2 linked regions of the Yarrowia lipolytica genome follow. The protein of the gene in region 1 purifies or fractionates together with the protein of each later gene. This does not show direct contact. Links are inferred from orthologs where the notes say so. Each region holds a gene or a part of one and is shown in the gene's direction. Other genes may lie near its edges.

What was found. The genes of interacting proteins can lie anywhere in the genome.
Region 2: the proteins of YALI1_A03422g (region 1) and YALI1_E13727g purify together in Saccharomyces cerevisiae (affinity purification with mass spectrometry; 5 studies listed by BioGRID, with this or other methods). This does not show direct contact. The link is inferred for Yarrowia lipolytica from reciprocal best matches to the Saccharomyces cerevisiae genes ARC35 and ARC15.

The regions. Positions count from the first base shown.
Region 1 is NC_090770.1:340,791-351,287, reverse strand, and holds YALI1_A03422g (uncharacterized protein), read left to right. Parts: upstream 1-9,028; coding exon 9,029-9,997; downstream 9,998-10,497. Other genes in the region: YALI1_A03512g (uncharacterized protein), read right to left, coding at 1-86; YALI1_A03507g (uncharacterized protein), read right to left, coding at 301-483, 528-584; YALI1_A03487g (uncharacterized protein), read left to right, coding at 2,513-2,860; YALI1_A03450g (uncharacterized protein), read right to left, coding at 4,698-6,203; YALI1_A03442g (uncharacterized protein), read right to left, coding at 6,531-7,076.
Region 2 is NC_090774.1:1,368,410-1,373,833, forward strand, and holds YALI1_E13727g (uncharacterized protein), read left to right. Parts: upstream 1-4,320; coding exon 4,321-4,539; intron 4,540-4,675; coding exon 4,676-4,924; downstream 4,925-5,424. Other genes in the region: YALI1_E13683g (uncharacterized protein), read left to right, coding at 1-498; YALI1_E13708g (uncharacterized protein), read right to left, coding at 759-2,414; YALI1_E13718g (uncharacterized protein), read right to left, coding at 2,775-3,383. UniProt on the Saccharomyces cerevisiae protein: Functions as a component of the Arp2/3 complex which is involved in regulation of actin polymerization and together with an activating nucleation-promoting factor (NPF) mediates the formation of branched actin networks.

The DNA.
Region 1 (10,497 bases):
TTGCGCTTCAGTTCGGGCTTGTATCCAATGTCGGCCAGGACCTGGTTGTCCAGGGTGTCGGGGGGTTTAGCCTCTGGGTCGTTCATGGTGGGTTTGGAGCAGCGGAAAAGGAGATGGTGAGGGGAGCGATGGCGATAAGGACAGGAGGGAAAAGCGACGACACTATGCCGACGACTGGTGAGTGATTTACTCGTCGAAATTTCCGATTCCACTTATATACAGTCGCTCAAACACTAACACTAAAGGCCCATGTTAGCTTTGGGGGGGGGGGGGGGGGCATGGTCGGGGCGTGTAGTGGGTTCAAAAAGGGCAGGAAGGGAGTGGGCGTTGGAGGGTATTGTGGTCGAGAAAACCTCGTCTGAGGGGCATTGCCAAGCCTGCCAAGACTCGAACAAGCAAACTTAGCCGCTTATCGCGCGTTATCGGGTCTTGGCCCGGGCTGGGACACACGTCTGGTGGTTGCGTGGTTGCGTGCGTCGCTATCTAGATAAGACAGGCTTCTGTTTCAAACTGTTTTTCAGAAAGACAAGTTTGGACGGCGCGAAGCTTGATTGGATTCGCCAATGGTAGCGGGGGGAGGTCATGGCGACTTGACGACCGTTGAGACTGAATCCGGGCGATATTATAGGCAGTTGAAATCGTAAAAAGTTGCAACAAACGCCCACCGGTCGAAGTCGCACCGATTCCGCGACTTTTGCGTCGTGTAGACGATGCGAGATGGCACGGCAGAAAGCACGGGAGCCGCAGTCAAGCCACACGTGTCGAATACATACATATATGAACGAGCGGACGAACCCGACATTCCTGATTGGATTAGGTTGGACAGAAAGAGAGACCGGCAAGTGAAATGAAATGAGATGGAACGGAATGGAGAAAGCTACCAGTACGAATAGTTATTCCGGGATTTGCCAGACATGGCGTATTAGTGTTGGTTGGGGAGACGTAATCGGTATGGGAGAGAAGTATGGGAGAAAAGTAATCGAGTTTTCTCGGCTCTTCGACGAGTCCGGCCAAAAAACAGTAAATACAAGCACTGATGTTGTCATATCATCTCTGTGGTAGCAAGATCCTTGTCCTTATTCTCCATATTCGCAACCTCTTGCATCACCAACAGTAATGTACAATACTGACAGTTAGTCCTCCTTCATTCACCAGACACCAACTTTCTTGTGCACTGATGACGTCACGAGAGCCAGAACCAAAGAATGGGAAAAAGAGAGAGATGAGTGGATCTGGGGAGGCGATTTGGTCCCTAAGACCTCATGACCTCTACGGAATTGAGATGATCTGCGGACGAGCAAGTTCCAACGTTCATTTTAGGGATGTTCTGGGCACTGAGAGATATGTTCCAGGCGTCCTTTGCAACGATTTTTTGGGCCTGGACATTTACCGGAGCATTTCCTCTTTTATAATCTCCTCAGGTCAGACAATGGTGTCAAATACTCTCCGCGGAGTAGTGTTATGCTGGAAAGAGTGACTCTAGATAGTGATACTCGCCAAGAGGGACAATAATGTAGTGTACTTGTACTAATAGTACCTTTTTCTGATGTAAACATTAGATGTTGCAACTCCTCAAAATCTCCTGGATCCCTCTAGTCTGGCTCTGTTGTTGTTACGTATTCCACTACAATTTGTTATAATTATAGTTGGTAATTACTTAAGATTGACTCCGTGAGCCGGTTGTCCGTCTTCGGAGACACCCAAGAGAATATGAGTATATCAGGAGATCGAAAAAGGTAACATTCCCGTCAAAATACATATCGTGGACATTTTTACAGTCATAAAATGCTCAGAGTGAGTCGAATTGGGTGAATAATTGTCATTTATGTGCCAAGACGGTTCTTTGAAGTTTTCAGATATGAGCACGAGAAGACGGTGCCTGCAATTGTACAACAGAAAAACACAGAATATTTTCACCATAGAATCATGGGCTTCTCAAAAAGCCCCGATCAGTGGATCAATTCCGCCACCTGGTTGTCATTATATTACACACCAGTACACATACGTACTGTACTGTACATACTGTACGTACCCAGTAACTCCCCAACAATTAAGTAAATAACCAGCTAAAGGTTTCCTTTTTCCAACAATAACGCCTTTCTCTACTTACCTTACTGCACTGTGCTGTTTTGTTCTCACCAATTTTTTTATTTTTCCAGATTTTAGTTCTATGAATTTTTTTATATTTTCTTTTTTTTATTTTTATTTTTTATTTTTCTTCCAAAACTCTACCCAGCCACGCGTGGCGCACTCAGACGGACCCTGTTGTCCAATTGACGGGCCAAAAACAAGCGGATTTTCTGTAAACAAAAACGAACGAAAAAAGGGCCCAAAATAGCTCGCTCCCCAACTCGTATCAACGCGCTCCGCTCGGTCTAAAAATACCTCCGGGCCAAAATAACCAAACACATGGGTCAAGGTTCTCACCATCTACCCTAACCGCGACCCCACCAACCATGTGTTTGAACCGCACCACCAGGTATACGATTTGCCGCTAGCTACACCAACAACAATGTCGTCCTCCATGCCGTACGACCCGTACGCCGGCGAGAGCCATGCGCAGACGCACCATACGGGCAACCACAAAACGGCCGCCATCCAGGCGCAAATCGACGATACCGTGGGCATCATGCGAGAGAACATCAACAAGGTGGCGGAGAGAGGAGAACGACTGGACTCGCTGCAAGATAAGACAGACAACCTGGCGGTGTCGGCCCAGGGCTTCCGACGAGGCGCCAACCGGGTGCGAAAGGCCATGTGGCTCAAGGACTTCAAGATGAAGGTCTGTCTGGTCATTGGAGTCATCATTCTGATTGTGGTGATTGTGGTTCCGATCGCGGTCCACTTTTCCGGACGATAGATAGACGTGGCGACACGACATGGGAGAGACGCACCTTTAGAGCAGACGTCCGCGCGTCGGGACTTATTAACGACTATATGAGAATAAATGCTAACTGTGTATGATAGATGGCATTTTCGTAGATCAGCTGGAACCGTCAATTGCTACAGTGCAAGGGCTAACAAGCGTTAGTCAGGGTTAACACTCGGTCGACTAACACTCGGTCGACTAACATTCGGTCTACTAGCACCCAGTCAAACAAACGCTCATTCGACCAACGCTCAACTAACACTCGGACGATCAGGGCGAGCGGTAGGTTCTACACAACAAGTACCACGGCATGATTGCATCAGGTGTCGTTCAATAGAATATCCAGACTGCCGAGAGGCTTCAGTAATGGATTCATTGAGATCGCGACTCCAGAGACAGATGTGCAGTGGAAGCACTGAGCTGCGGGTCAACACTCAACTCCATCGATCGATACGTGTGAGACAGAGTCGGATAGAAGACCGTAGCCGGGTTCAGATAAGTTGCTCTTGAGTTTATCACTATCGGCATTGTCGTAAGTAGATTGATCGCTTGAGAGCAAGTAGAACATCATTCTACTTAACTGTCGCCGAGGAATCTACTTTCCGTGCACCGACGAGATTTCCACCTTCTGTAGGAGTCACTTCCAAGCCAGTTTTTTCTCAAATACACCTTTCTGAATGCAATACTAGTACAGTACCGTAAGAATCGCTATCACCAGTTCGAACCCAAGATACAGTCCACATGTACAGATCTGCAGTTTGTGACGTCTGACTGCATATATCAAGTACTGATGGCATGTGGCTGAGCGATACGAGCTTGTGCGTAAAAGCACCTTAACAGCGATTTCAAAACCAGGCAGCGATGGTGGAGTGGTTATGATACTGACCCCCACAGACCCCCGTCTTTTATCTTATCAATCAGAAACCTTAATATATATAATTTTTCAAAAAAATATCAAGTGAATTTATATCAAATATGTCAGTGACTCGCAAATGGATTGGCGACTTACTACTGATCGGAGAGACCTTGTTCCCGTTTGTGGTGATAAATCCACAAGAGCAGGGGGATTTTTTCTGGCCAGATGATGACCTGATGTTGACCTGATGTGGGCTCAGTCCTACTCCTCCAAAGAGTCCTGTGGTGTTGTGAAGTCGGAACAAGCCCTATCCAGTCATGTGCAACCTATCCAGTCAAGTGGAGGTCGTTAATCTATGTACAAGTTTCCCTTGTGACTTACTGGGAAGACGTCCGATAACCACTCTGCAGTCTCTGAGACCACTTGTGGGATGACACTTTGTCCTGAACACTGCATCAAGTTGACCATCGTAAAGTCTTCGAACTTGTCTGGTGCTCGGAAGGACGCTCGATCTTACTTTTCTCTCCTTATCCGTGTTCAACAGGGTGGGTTTATCAGCGCGGTCAGGATTCACCCGGCATACAGACCTCAGAGACTTCGTGGTAGTCTGGCACACAGAGCCACAGGGACTTTGTTATCGTCCTGAACAGATATTGACTCCTTGTCAGGATGCTCGTCTTCATCATTAACGGCACTTCTTGGTGTATTCAGGCTCCTTATAGTCATTATCGGGATTGAGCTTCATTCGCTCCTTGGGAGACAGGTTCTCGTAGTCTTCATTTTGGTCAAACGTGCAACAGGCCAGTCTGTTCAGCGGGTGTCCAATATCTAGGTGGTGTTGGCTCGGAGATAGAGATAGTGATACACTCACCATTCTTCAGCTTCTGACAGTATACTGGTCTACTTGTTTCGTCAAGTTTCACGGCTCATTCCTCGCACAACAATCACATCAATTACAACTAATCTCATCACCTACAGCAAATACACGAAGGCCCCGTGACTCGTCTTCAGCTTAAGCACCACCACCAGGGCGGCGGTGAATACAACGCCGGCAATCATAAACGCCATATTGACCCAGGCGGCTTTCACAAACAGAGGAGCGGCGGTGGCGACCCATGTTCGCAGAACAATGACTCCATACCAGTTAGTGATGAAGGTGAAAACGGCAAAGCTCATGAGTCTTCTGTTTCTTCCTTGGACGTTGCTCCCCAGCCAGCAGGCGAGAGTAGGCATGGCAGCGACCATGTTGGGGATAATGAACCACGCTCCTCCATATTTGATCCAAAAGTTCTTGTGGCTGGGCGTGCACAGAACGAGAGCCCATCCAATGATAGCAAACAGGTAGTTCGCCAGCAGGAACGGGTAGTTGGTCTTGTACTTAGTGGAGAACCAGTTTTGAACTAGACAGTAGAAGCAACTCCACACCAGAATGGGCCAAACGATGCATTGACCTAGAGCTGGTGAGTATTTGAGCACGTGCAGAGTCACGGTCATGAGCTCTCCATAGCACGAAAAGATACCATTGTAAGTAAAGAGACCCATGGCACCGGTGAGCCAGACAATGGGGTCTTTGAGAGCCATTCCAAGGCCCTGAATGACTGTCTCGATGGGCTCGATCGGGTTTCCTCCAGCATAGTGTTTTTCGGTGATTTTCTTGAACAGCTGGTATCCGTCTTCACCATGTTTTCTGATCCATCTGGGGTGGTAGAAGTAGTCTGGCAGCAATCTCCACACCAGAGGAGCCTGAAGACAGCCACAGATTCCGGTGATGAAAAACATCCACGCCCAACCGGGCTTTCCGTCTGTAATCAGACCAAGTGCAATGGCGATGAGGGCAAACAGCGGTACCATGAACCAAGATACTGCCCAGGAGCAGGCAATGACAAACTGTCCCTCGAATCTTCCATGAGACTCGTATGTAACCTGAAGAATTACAGGTAGCGCAACACTCATGACGGCCCCCATAATCACTCTGTCCGCTGTAAGACCTCCGTAATTGACACAGATGCCCAACAGTGTGCAACAGAGACCCCAGATGAACATTTGGACTCCAGCAAACACGCGCGGGTTCGATTTAGCAAACAGCAAAGCCATAGGAATTACAAAGACAGCGTAGGTGAAGTATAGTGCTGCCTGCGACCATTCATATTCAGAGGGGGTGAGTTTCAGAAAAGGCTCAATTCCTCCCGTGACAGTCACTCCAATCACGTCCCTTGAAACAATATGAGAAGCAAGAAAAACTTGGAATTGGCAACCAACGGCTATACTTCTGTGTAATTTCAGATGGCCCTCTTTCTTCTTTGAAATGGAGACGTCTGACACTTGTCCAGAAGTGACGCTGTGTTGGACATAAAGATCGTCTGTCTTGGTCTCTTCCAGATGCTCAACTGACGGCTTGTCATCTTCCAGGTGTTCAATGGAGTGTTTGGTGTCCTCGAGATGTTCAATTGAGGTCTTTGGGAAGGTTGATTCGTTCATTTTTACTGCTCTACACACACCCCCAACATGGCTATATAGGAAACCAGTACAAGGCGAGTACAAGGAGCTCAGCAAACTCAGAAGACTCAGCAGAAGTCCACATTAAGTTGGATTGTGGGGAATGATATGGTACTGTGGGGTAGGAGGGGTGTCGGTGAGGTTTTATTGGGATATAAGTTGATTGTTGGACAATCTTTGCTTACTCTAGACGTAAACTCGCAGAACCACGCAATTGTGACCTCAATACAGCGAACCAACGGGACAGGACTGTTCGAAACTGTCTCCACAATCAAAAGGACCCACCCAATGCTAATTGTATCCTTGCTACTACATAGTTACAGTTGCAAATAAACAATCTAGCCGCGTCAGGTGTGTACGGCGGTGGGAGGTGTACCTACGAATGCCTACAGGTTGAATTAGAACTTGTGTCAACGTAACTTCGGCCGAAACCTGTCGGACAATGGGAATTACATCCAGATAACCAGTCTTGGCATTTGCTCCCCTCACTCTGTTGTCGGGGTCTGCATTTTCCGGACTTCCGTCTGCAGTGCCCCCCACCTTCTTTGTCTCACGAGAGGTTCTCCTGTACCACCCAAGAAGCGTTACAGTAGGAGAAAGGAAGGGGGAAACCCGTTCAGATCGGCTTTGATAAGGGATCTGTATGATCACTTGTCTAGTTTTTCTTCCTCTTTTGCTCTCAATACCTCTTTTATCGACTATTCCCCTCGCCTTAACGAGAACCCTGTCGGCGACTAACTTCAATCCTACCCCACACATCTGCAACAGATGGAACATACAGATGGGGGTTTTGAACATTAATCGACTTTGAACTGGCCATCTGTTGTTGAATGAAGAGGGGACGGTGAGGTGCATGGTCGGTTGCTTATGGTATTCGTACTTGGAAACTACAAGTTCTTGACCTTCCGAGCGTTGCGCCGTTCGCCATTAGTGCAACAGATGCCATTCTACTGCCCGTTCAAAGCTCGATAAAAGCTTTCGAATCCCACCATCCGGTCGACTAAATAGGTTCCACTGCCCCGTATTGCTCCCAGAATCTGCCCTTAGATCGACTATAACTGACTGCTAAACCTACAAGTAGAGCCCCACAGGAGAGTCCGTCCAACATCTCATGTCCTGCCAGACAGGGTGTTGAAACAGACAAGTACAGTATGTACACGTGATTTAAGGGACTGGATAAATTGTTGCAAGGCGTAAAAGCAAGGTGGAGGGGATGACAGATAAAAAAATAAAAAAAAAAAAACAATTAGGACTGATTTTCGAGGGCATCTAAAAAAGGGGCCGAGCAGGGATTTGAACCCTGGACCTCTCACACCCAAAGCGAGAATCATAGCTACTAGACCACACGGCCGAAAATCTTAAAATCACGTGAAAAAATACGGTCAAGAGACTAAAAAAGTGATTTTGAATTTTTCTTTGATTTTGACGCCCTTATCGACATTGTACAAAGTAAATAACATCGGATATTTATTCTCAAAGACCAAAAGTATCCCCTAGTAGCTTTTTACTCGAGTAGAACCGATATTAAGTTAATAATTTTGGTGTCGAAGTTGCATCTTTACGTTGAATTTTGGTATGGTAATAACATGCTGTAATGCATCATTAGAATAATAAAAAAAGTGGTTATTGTCATGATATTGAGTCAAATGAATAAAAATTGTTCTATTGAATGAACTTGCAGAGCCAGTGGCAAAAAAACTACATTTAAATCGGATCCATGGTGCAATTGGAGGTGTCTGTAAGTGGTCTTGTACGAACTGTGAACTGTACTTGCTACATACTGCACTAGTATGTACTGCAAACCGGAGTGATATTGTGAAACCAGAGCAATGACGGAGTGAAACAATTGAATCTGGTCCCCCAATTGGGCATTCTATGTCCGTGTTTTCAGGTTAAAACGTCTGGGATCATGTTCGTAGTCCTCCGAGTCCAAGCTCAGAACCATGATCTGATTAGAATCAGAGCTAAGAGGAACGTAACACTTTAGATGGTTAGTCTCTGAGACAGATGAACTGGGAGGTACTGTACTGAATGGATAGAGACTTGTTCGCGTTCAGTGCGAGTACAGTGTACGAAGGTCTGGCTAGAGACTGTGAAGAACAGCACGGGTCATACTGTAGTGAAGCATCGTAAAGGTGCTCCAGCCGTGAAAGACTTCGATATAGGGTGGAATACTTTGACAGAGTGGAATACTTCAATATAGGGGGAATATCAGTGATGTGAGACATCCCATTATACATGTTCCCGTGTCACTCGTGATAGAGTTCAAGTAAAATGTCAAGCATACTCCCAAGTAAACTGTTCCTAACAATGGATTATCAAGGTCGGGGTTTCACCTCCGTGTCCAATTGGGACCCCATCTATCCATCGGCGTCTCCAGCATATGTCACCAATTACCTTCACCGCTGTAATTGACTACTCCGGCTACAATTACTCGTACTTGCACAGTACTCGCACAAGTATCAACTCCTACATCCGCAACCCAGAGGGCTTATCTCCGAGTGAGTGCATAAACAGTGGTGTGAAGGTCATCTAGCGAGTCTGCAACTGCGGCAAATAATAACACTGGGGGAAGATTTTGGGTGACACGTGATCAATCACAAGCTCGAGGAATATAATTGTCATTTTCTCCGTATATAATCTGCTCTTGGTGCCACCAGTTTTCGCGCGGTTCGTCCCCAGCTTCCCATTAGAGTTCTGACTAACCAACGATATTAACGCAGTGGTACAGCACACATCTCCACGTTGACTATACACCCACTGCGAGACCCAGCACTCCCACACAGCACTCCACAAGACCCGCCAACATGCTTATGCTCCAGTACCAAAACCTGCTGCTGCAATCGGTGCTCAGCGAGCGTCTGGACCCCGAAACCCCGCCATTGGGCATCGATCAGGTGGTGTCGGACTTCGACAATGTCACCTTCCACATCTCCAACCCGGACCCCAAGGACAAGACGGTCATCATGGTGTCCATGTACATCAAGTGTTTCCAGGATCTGGTCAAGTGCGGCGCCAAGAAGATTCTGGAGCGGGAGTATGGCCCCTACCTGACCGAGCCCGAGCCTGGATACGACGTTTCGCTGCTGCTCAACCTCACAGACGGCTCCATCCCCTCGGACCCCGAGCAGCGAGACGAGCTTGTCAACAAGATTGCACTGCTCAAGAGAAACACGTTTGCTGCTCCATTCGAAAAGGCCTTTGACAAGTTCGACCAGCTGGCCGAGGAGGCTGCTGCCGAGGGCAAGGACCTGTACGCCCCCCAAAAGTCCGATAACGAGGTCATGGCGATCCACTACCGAGACGAGGAGTCCATCTACGTGCGACCGAGCTACGACCGAGTCACCGTCATCTTCTCCACCATCTTCAAGGACGAGACTGACCGAATCTTTGGAAAGGTGTTCCTGCAGGAATTCGTTGACGCTCGACGAAGAGCCATCCAAAACGCCCCCCAGGTGCTGTACACGCAAAAGGAGCCGCCGCTGGAGATCAGAGACGTTGTCAAGCCCTCTTCTAACGCCGACAACATGGGATACGTCACCTTTGTGCTTTTCCCCCGACATCTTGTGGCCTCTCGACGAGAGAACTGTATCTCGCACATCCAAATCTTCCGAGACTACTTCCACTACCATATCAAGTGTTCCAAGGCCTATATGCACTCGCGAATGCGATTCCGAGTGAGCGAGTTCCTCAAGGTGCTGAACCGAGCAAAGCAGGAGAATGTGGTCAAGGAGAAGAAGACCGCCAGTGGAAGAACCTTCAAGCATCCCAACTAGGTGGCCAGTAACTTGACGTAGCGTGCTGCTGATTGACTTCTCTTCATCTAACGGTCGGAACTAGCTATGCATCGGTATGTCTCCATGTACCATTGTAATGAATATGATATGAATAACAACTGACTGTAGTGAAGGTGTATGGAAGGCATTATCGAGATAGATTGGCGTGGGTACTGGTACGGTAACCACTCTGAAGAGTTTGATTGTTACGTGTATTTTAAATCAATATGACCAGGCTCGATGACTTTGTAGATGAGCAGGCCATTTTCCCGTCCTGACCAGGATAACCACGTTCATGATCCCAGATAGCAAGTGTTCGGGAGAATAATCCGGAACATGACATTGTCACAGGATAAGCGACTTCAACTGTGCAACTACTCAATAATAGCACCTTTTTACGACTCTGCTTCCAGTAAGTCCCTCACTGGAACCTCCTCTACATCCCATTATTTACAGAATCACCGCATCCCGAAAACCATCACATACACAGCTCACGACGT
Region 2 (5,424 bases), on another chromosome or scaffold:
GACGCTTTTCAACAGGTGCGTCAGTTCAACTCCGCGGTGTGGCTCTGTCGAGCACCAGTAGTCAATGGATACATTGACGAGGCGAGCCACGAGTGCGTAAACCTGCTCAAGGACGGTAAATGCGCCGCCGTGGCAATATCGATTCACAACTCGGCTTCCAAACACGTTGCTACGATACCAATCAAGTTCAACATTCCTGTTGTACCGGAGTCTGACCAAACAGTGCCAGTGACCGACGCTCCCACACTGATCGAGGACCTCCAACTCGAATTCAACGCGTTCTTCACACGTCTGGCTAACTACGGGCCAAATTTCAACCCTTCCAAGTTGGAACATACGTTCAAGATCCAATGTGAGCTGGAAGGACGCCATACTCTGGAGGGCTGGATATCATCAGAGGCTCAAAGTAGCAAACAAGTCCCAGGATTGGAAGATGTCGTGGTCAGAAAGATCGAAACAGGACCCATAGAGGTTGTTTCTTGGTTGGAATATGTGTAACTGGGCTACTGGTGATATAATCGGCCATTTCACCGATGATAGTCGACCACTTCACCGATGATGATCCTTACAACAGTCGGTCACAAGGGGACTCGTCATATACATTATGCGTCCATATTGCGATCTAATATTTTTATTCGTACACCCTCAGTCCATTCCTACAAGTACTTGTTCTATGCTCTATTATATTCAACATGCGTTATGTTATGCTTCTACTATAGGTCCGGTGCTGTACATGAGCAATGATGGTTACTCCAGCATTACTCCAACCCCAACATGGTCTTGGTATTCTCGTAGACCAAATAACTTATACTGACGGCAGGAGCCACCTTGGCAAGGTTGGGAGCCAGACCTCTAAACAGACCCCGGTAACCGTCCTTGGTCACCGCCTTGTGGTATGCATCCATGATGCCAGTGTACGTCTGAGGATGAGCAGCAGTTCCCTGGGCCTGGAGACGGGTTCGCAGCAGGTTGATGGGGTACACAACCGTGGCTCCGACGGAACCGGATAATGCGCCCATGGTCAGAACGGCCATGTTACCAATCTTGACGTCAGAGTTCTCGCAGCCCAGTCGCTTTGCCTCTCGGGTAATGTATCCTCGCTTCATGACCTCAAATGTTCCTAGATCAAGCGCGGCATAAGGGAAAATGCCTCCCAGACCAGCCCACAGACCCCTGTAGTAGGTGGCCAGACCTCCGTTTCTCCACATCTGCTTCATTGTGTGCCACAGAAGCGCATTGCCCTGAAGAGCGCCGGTGGGGGGCTCGCACTGGATTCGGAACTTGAGCGTATCGATGGGGTAGACCACAAACTGCGACACGACACCTCCGATACCTCCGGCCAGAAAAGTTGATGCACGGGACAAGTCAGCAGTGTCCTCCACTCCCTCCAGCTGGCACAGAAACTTTTTGGCGGTCTCGAACGAGCCAAACTTCATGGCCGACTCGGGAATCACCTTGAACACGTTGAGACCGTTACCAATGAAGAACGACCGGATTCCTCCCTCGGCCCAAATGTTCTTGATGGCATTGATCAGCACGTGGTGTCGGGCCATGAACCCCGACGGGGGCTTTGCCTTGGATGCGTTCTTGGCAATGCTCTCATAGACGGCCTCCGAGGCTCCTGAAGCAGCGGCTGTGGTTGCGGGAGTGATAGGATCGGCAATCAGGTAGACCTTGAGCCGATCCAGAGGAGCGGTGGCTGTTCGGGAGATGGCTCCGGCAAGACCGCCAGCCAGAAAGTACCCCAGACCTTGTAATACGTCTCTGTGAAAAATCACGTCTCCTTCGGAGCTGAGATCCAGCTCCTCTACAAAAAATTTGTAGGCGGCCTTGAGGGTAGAGCCGGCCTCATTTGGGACCAGCAGCAGGAAGTCGCGCCACTCGTCGAAACAAATGTATCCGTCCTTGTCTCGATCGAGGGCCTTGAAGAAGTCGTCTATCGTGTCGCTGTCCATGTCTCCCAGTCCCACAGCTGCCATTCCGTCGGCCAGCTCCTCTCTATCCAGCTTACCGTCTCCCTTGTCGTCGATGATGTGGAACAGGTAGACCAGGTTCTGTTCCGTGAGCTCCAGGTACGACTGGAACTCGGACAGGTCCACGAGACCGTCCTCATTTGTGTCCATAAGATTCACCAGGTTGCCCACCAGCGAGTCTGCGTTTCGCAGCGTGTGCGACTCGGGCACAGATCCACCGAGCGAGCCACTGAAGGCTGCCACAAAGTCCTCCTTGGACAGTTGGCCCTTGCCCTCTCGATCCAGTTTGCGGAACATGCGTTCATAGCGTGCGCTCCGTTGTTCCGGGGTTTCTCCGGTCGAAAGCGCCAGCTGCTGTTGTTTTTCCGCCTTGAGAAGCTGTGCCTGGGCCTGCTCGGCGCTCTTGTGTGTGTGTTCGGCGGCTTTTGTCGGCTCCGTCATTGTGTGGTGTCTGTAGAATGTAGGTGTGTTTTTTTTTTGTGAGTGGTTGGTTCCGATTCTGCCCGAAAAATTCACGTGTTCCTAGGTCACGTGGGCTCTATGCGTGTAAAGCGGGGGATGTGGTATTCGCCTTGTTCGCCTCGGTCTCGTGCCTCTTGCTTCCTGGTCGCTGGTAGCGTTGCTTCTTGAGGCCTGGTGGAGTATTAGTGTAGGTGGTGATGCAAAGAAAATTCAAAAAAAGAAGTCAAATGCAAACCATGTTATGTAAGTGGTTGGTGGGGTGAAAGGGGCCCAAAGGGGAGCAAATATACAATTAAAAACATGAAAATCATATCTTGACCCTGTATCCCTTCGAATAGATCACGTGACATGTCGCCAAACCGTCCCTATCATCGCGTTGTATGGAACATCAACTCCCCCCCTCATCGACAGACACACCCTATACAGAATAGACACTGTATGATTGGGTTGCGAATAGAAGGGACCTTCCAATGAATGACTACCAGTACATCTACGTACGAGTAGACATGGGGCCTGCCAAAGGTGGGTCACATGACCTCGAGTTGCGCGATTGGAGCAATCGATAAATTTGAGAGAAGTCGGCTCTATACCTCCACTCTTGCTACATCCCGCGCACCCCACAGTAGAGTCTGACTGGCATGTTTGCTCGGTACACATGATTTTAACCTCTTCAATATATATACTCGGGCTAGCGTCGGAGTCTAACGTCTGGGGTTTTGAGGTGTGTTTCTGAGTCTGACAAGGCAGCTGGTAAGGATTTTTGTGTTTGCTGGATCGGGTGTTGGTGGTCATAGGGCAGTTATTGTGCTCTATCAGGTCAATTTCACCCTTGGTGGTGCTCTGTTCCCCCTCAGTGGGCAATGTGTTCACGCATCTTGACCCTACATTCACCGCTTTCTCCTGCCACCTTTTTCTCCACATCGAAGTCCACCGCCAAATGCACGTCATGCTTATTTGGTTCGGAATTGATTTCCTTTTTGAGAGGCCTGCAAATGGTCTCGATGGAGTATCTTAGCGAGATGAGACGCCGGCTCAGATAGATACCCGCCGACACTGCGCAATTTCGCTCTTCACAGAGAGAGCTGCCGTTAGCAGTAGTTGTTGGTTGTATCTCACTAGCAAGAACGTGATTGTTGATGCGTAGGCCTCTTTCGAAATAGAGATCGTACAGTAGCTACTTTGTAGCCAACAGACAACAGAGATAGACAGATAGCTTATCTGGCGTGTTGACAGGTCACGTGGCAAAAGGCAGTCCCGGTCACGTGCTCTTATTTCACACGCAGGGTGTATTTTATTGATTTTGATAGCCGTCTGCTGTCATTCCGCAATCACATGATGCGCCAACGCTTTTCTGTAGTCCAGTAATCGCTTGGTCCTGGATGGTGTTCATAAATGCACTATGGTGAGCTTATTTCTGCGGTTGATGACTCGGGCCATCCTGTGTGTCTTGTGGTTGTGTGTTCGAAGCCGAGCGGGGTTCCTTTGTGGTGTATTTGTGGGGTTTGATGGTTTGATTCTAGAGCTTTTGAGGGAGCTCCATGTCAATTGACTTGGAAACGAGTACAGGTGCTCAAATACGACTTTCTCTGGTACACATGCCTTCATTACTCCAATTTTGGACAATATCGGACCTAGAACCTGATTGGGGAAAGATACAAGAGATTTGAATATATCCCAGTGAATCTCATGTCACGAGCTATCCGCTGGTATAATCACATCTGGAATAATGCGTCATCTACCCCCATTTCAAGTCATCGGATATCACCTCTAACTTGCCCTACCATTCATCCTCCCAAACTCTGATAATGCATACAGCACAGCACATCACCAAATCCCACTCACCTGCAAATAACTCACGAGCAGCACACACCACACATCACACACCATGTCGCAGATTGATTTCCGAAGAATTGACGTCGACCAGTACGACCCAGACTCGTTCATCTCCAAGGAGGATCTCACTCCTCCCTGCAAGCCCGTCTCTGCCGCTGAGCAGCAACAGGTGGCCACGGAAATCCGAGGAGCCATTTCTCGAGGAGAGGCCAAGGCTGCCCTTCCCATTGCGCTGGACTTTGCTCCTTACGGTGGTGATGACAAGGTAAAGGTGAGTATGGAGCGGTGGAAACGATTGCTCTTGGCAGCAAGTGAAACCCCCATCAGCTCGTGATCAACCGACATCTGGGGACACAATCAGTTGTCTTTTAAATGTAACAACCGCCAGACCCCACGTACTAACCCAGGACGCCCACCTCAAGTCTGTAATTGAGGTTCTGAGCGCAACCAAATCGGCCGAGATCCCATCCGTGGTCAAGGCTCTCAACAAGGAACAGCAGGATGTGCTCATCAAGTACCTGTACAAGGCCATGGGCTCGCCACAGGGCCAGTCCCAAGGAGTCGGCGCCATCCTACTTGCCTGGTACGAGAAGACCGTGGACATCACCGGACAGGGAGCCGTCGTTCGATACATGTCTGATCGACGAACTGTTTAAGCGAGTTTAAGCGACTACAAGCCCCTCGAACAGCGGATGGATGTGGGTAAATATTATGAGGTTCTCTCGCAATTGTAAACTACAAGCGTTGCAGATCAATCATATAACGGTAGCAGTGCTAATGATGTAAATGAATGTAAACTATCATCTTTGTTTGGACAAAATCAAGTGTAGACTGCAAGTCAGTGTTCTTGTGTAGAGCCTATCGAAGAGCTGCTTCAGTCTATGTCGTCCATTGGCCAGTACCAACGGTGAATAATGTGTGAGTTCACTTGTCATAGACACAGTGGATCTGCCAACTATCAATATTGTTAATGTATGGACCTTCACGTTCCCTCCACGACATGGCATCGTCTAAGATGATGCCCCTTGGGTTGTCATTGTCTTCTTACATATGATCATCCAATTGACTAGTAAAAACTGTAGGTGGGTATGAGATCAACTGTTAGGACCACTTTCCATCTACCACTTGAATGATATCATGATTATTTATGTAATTA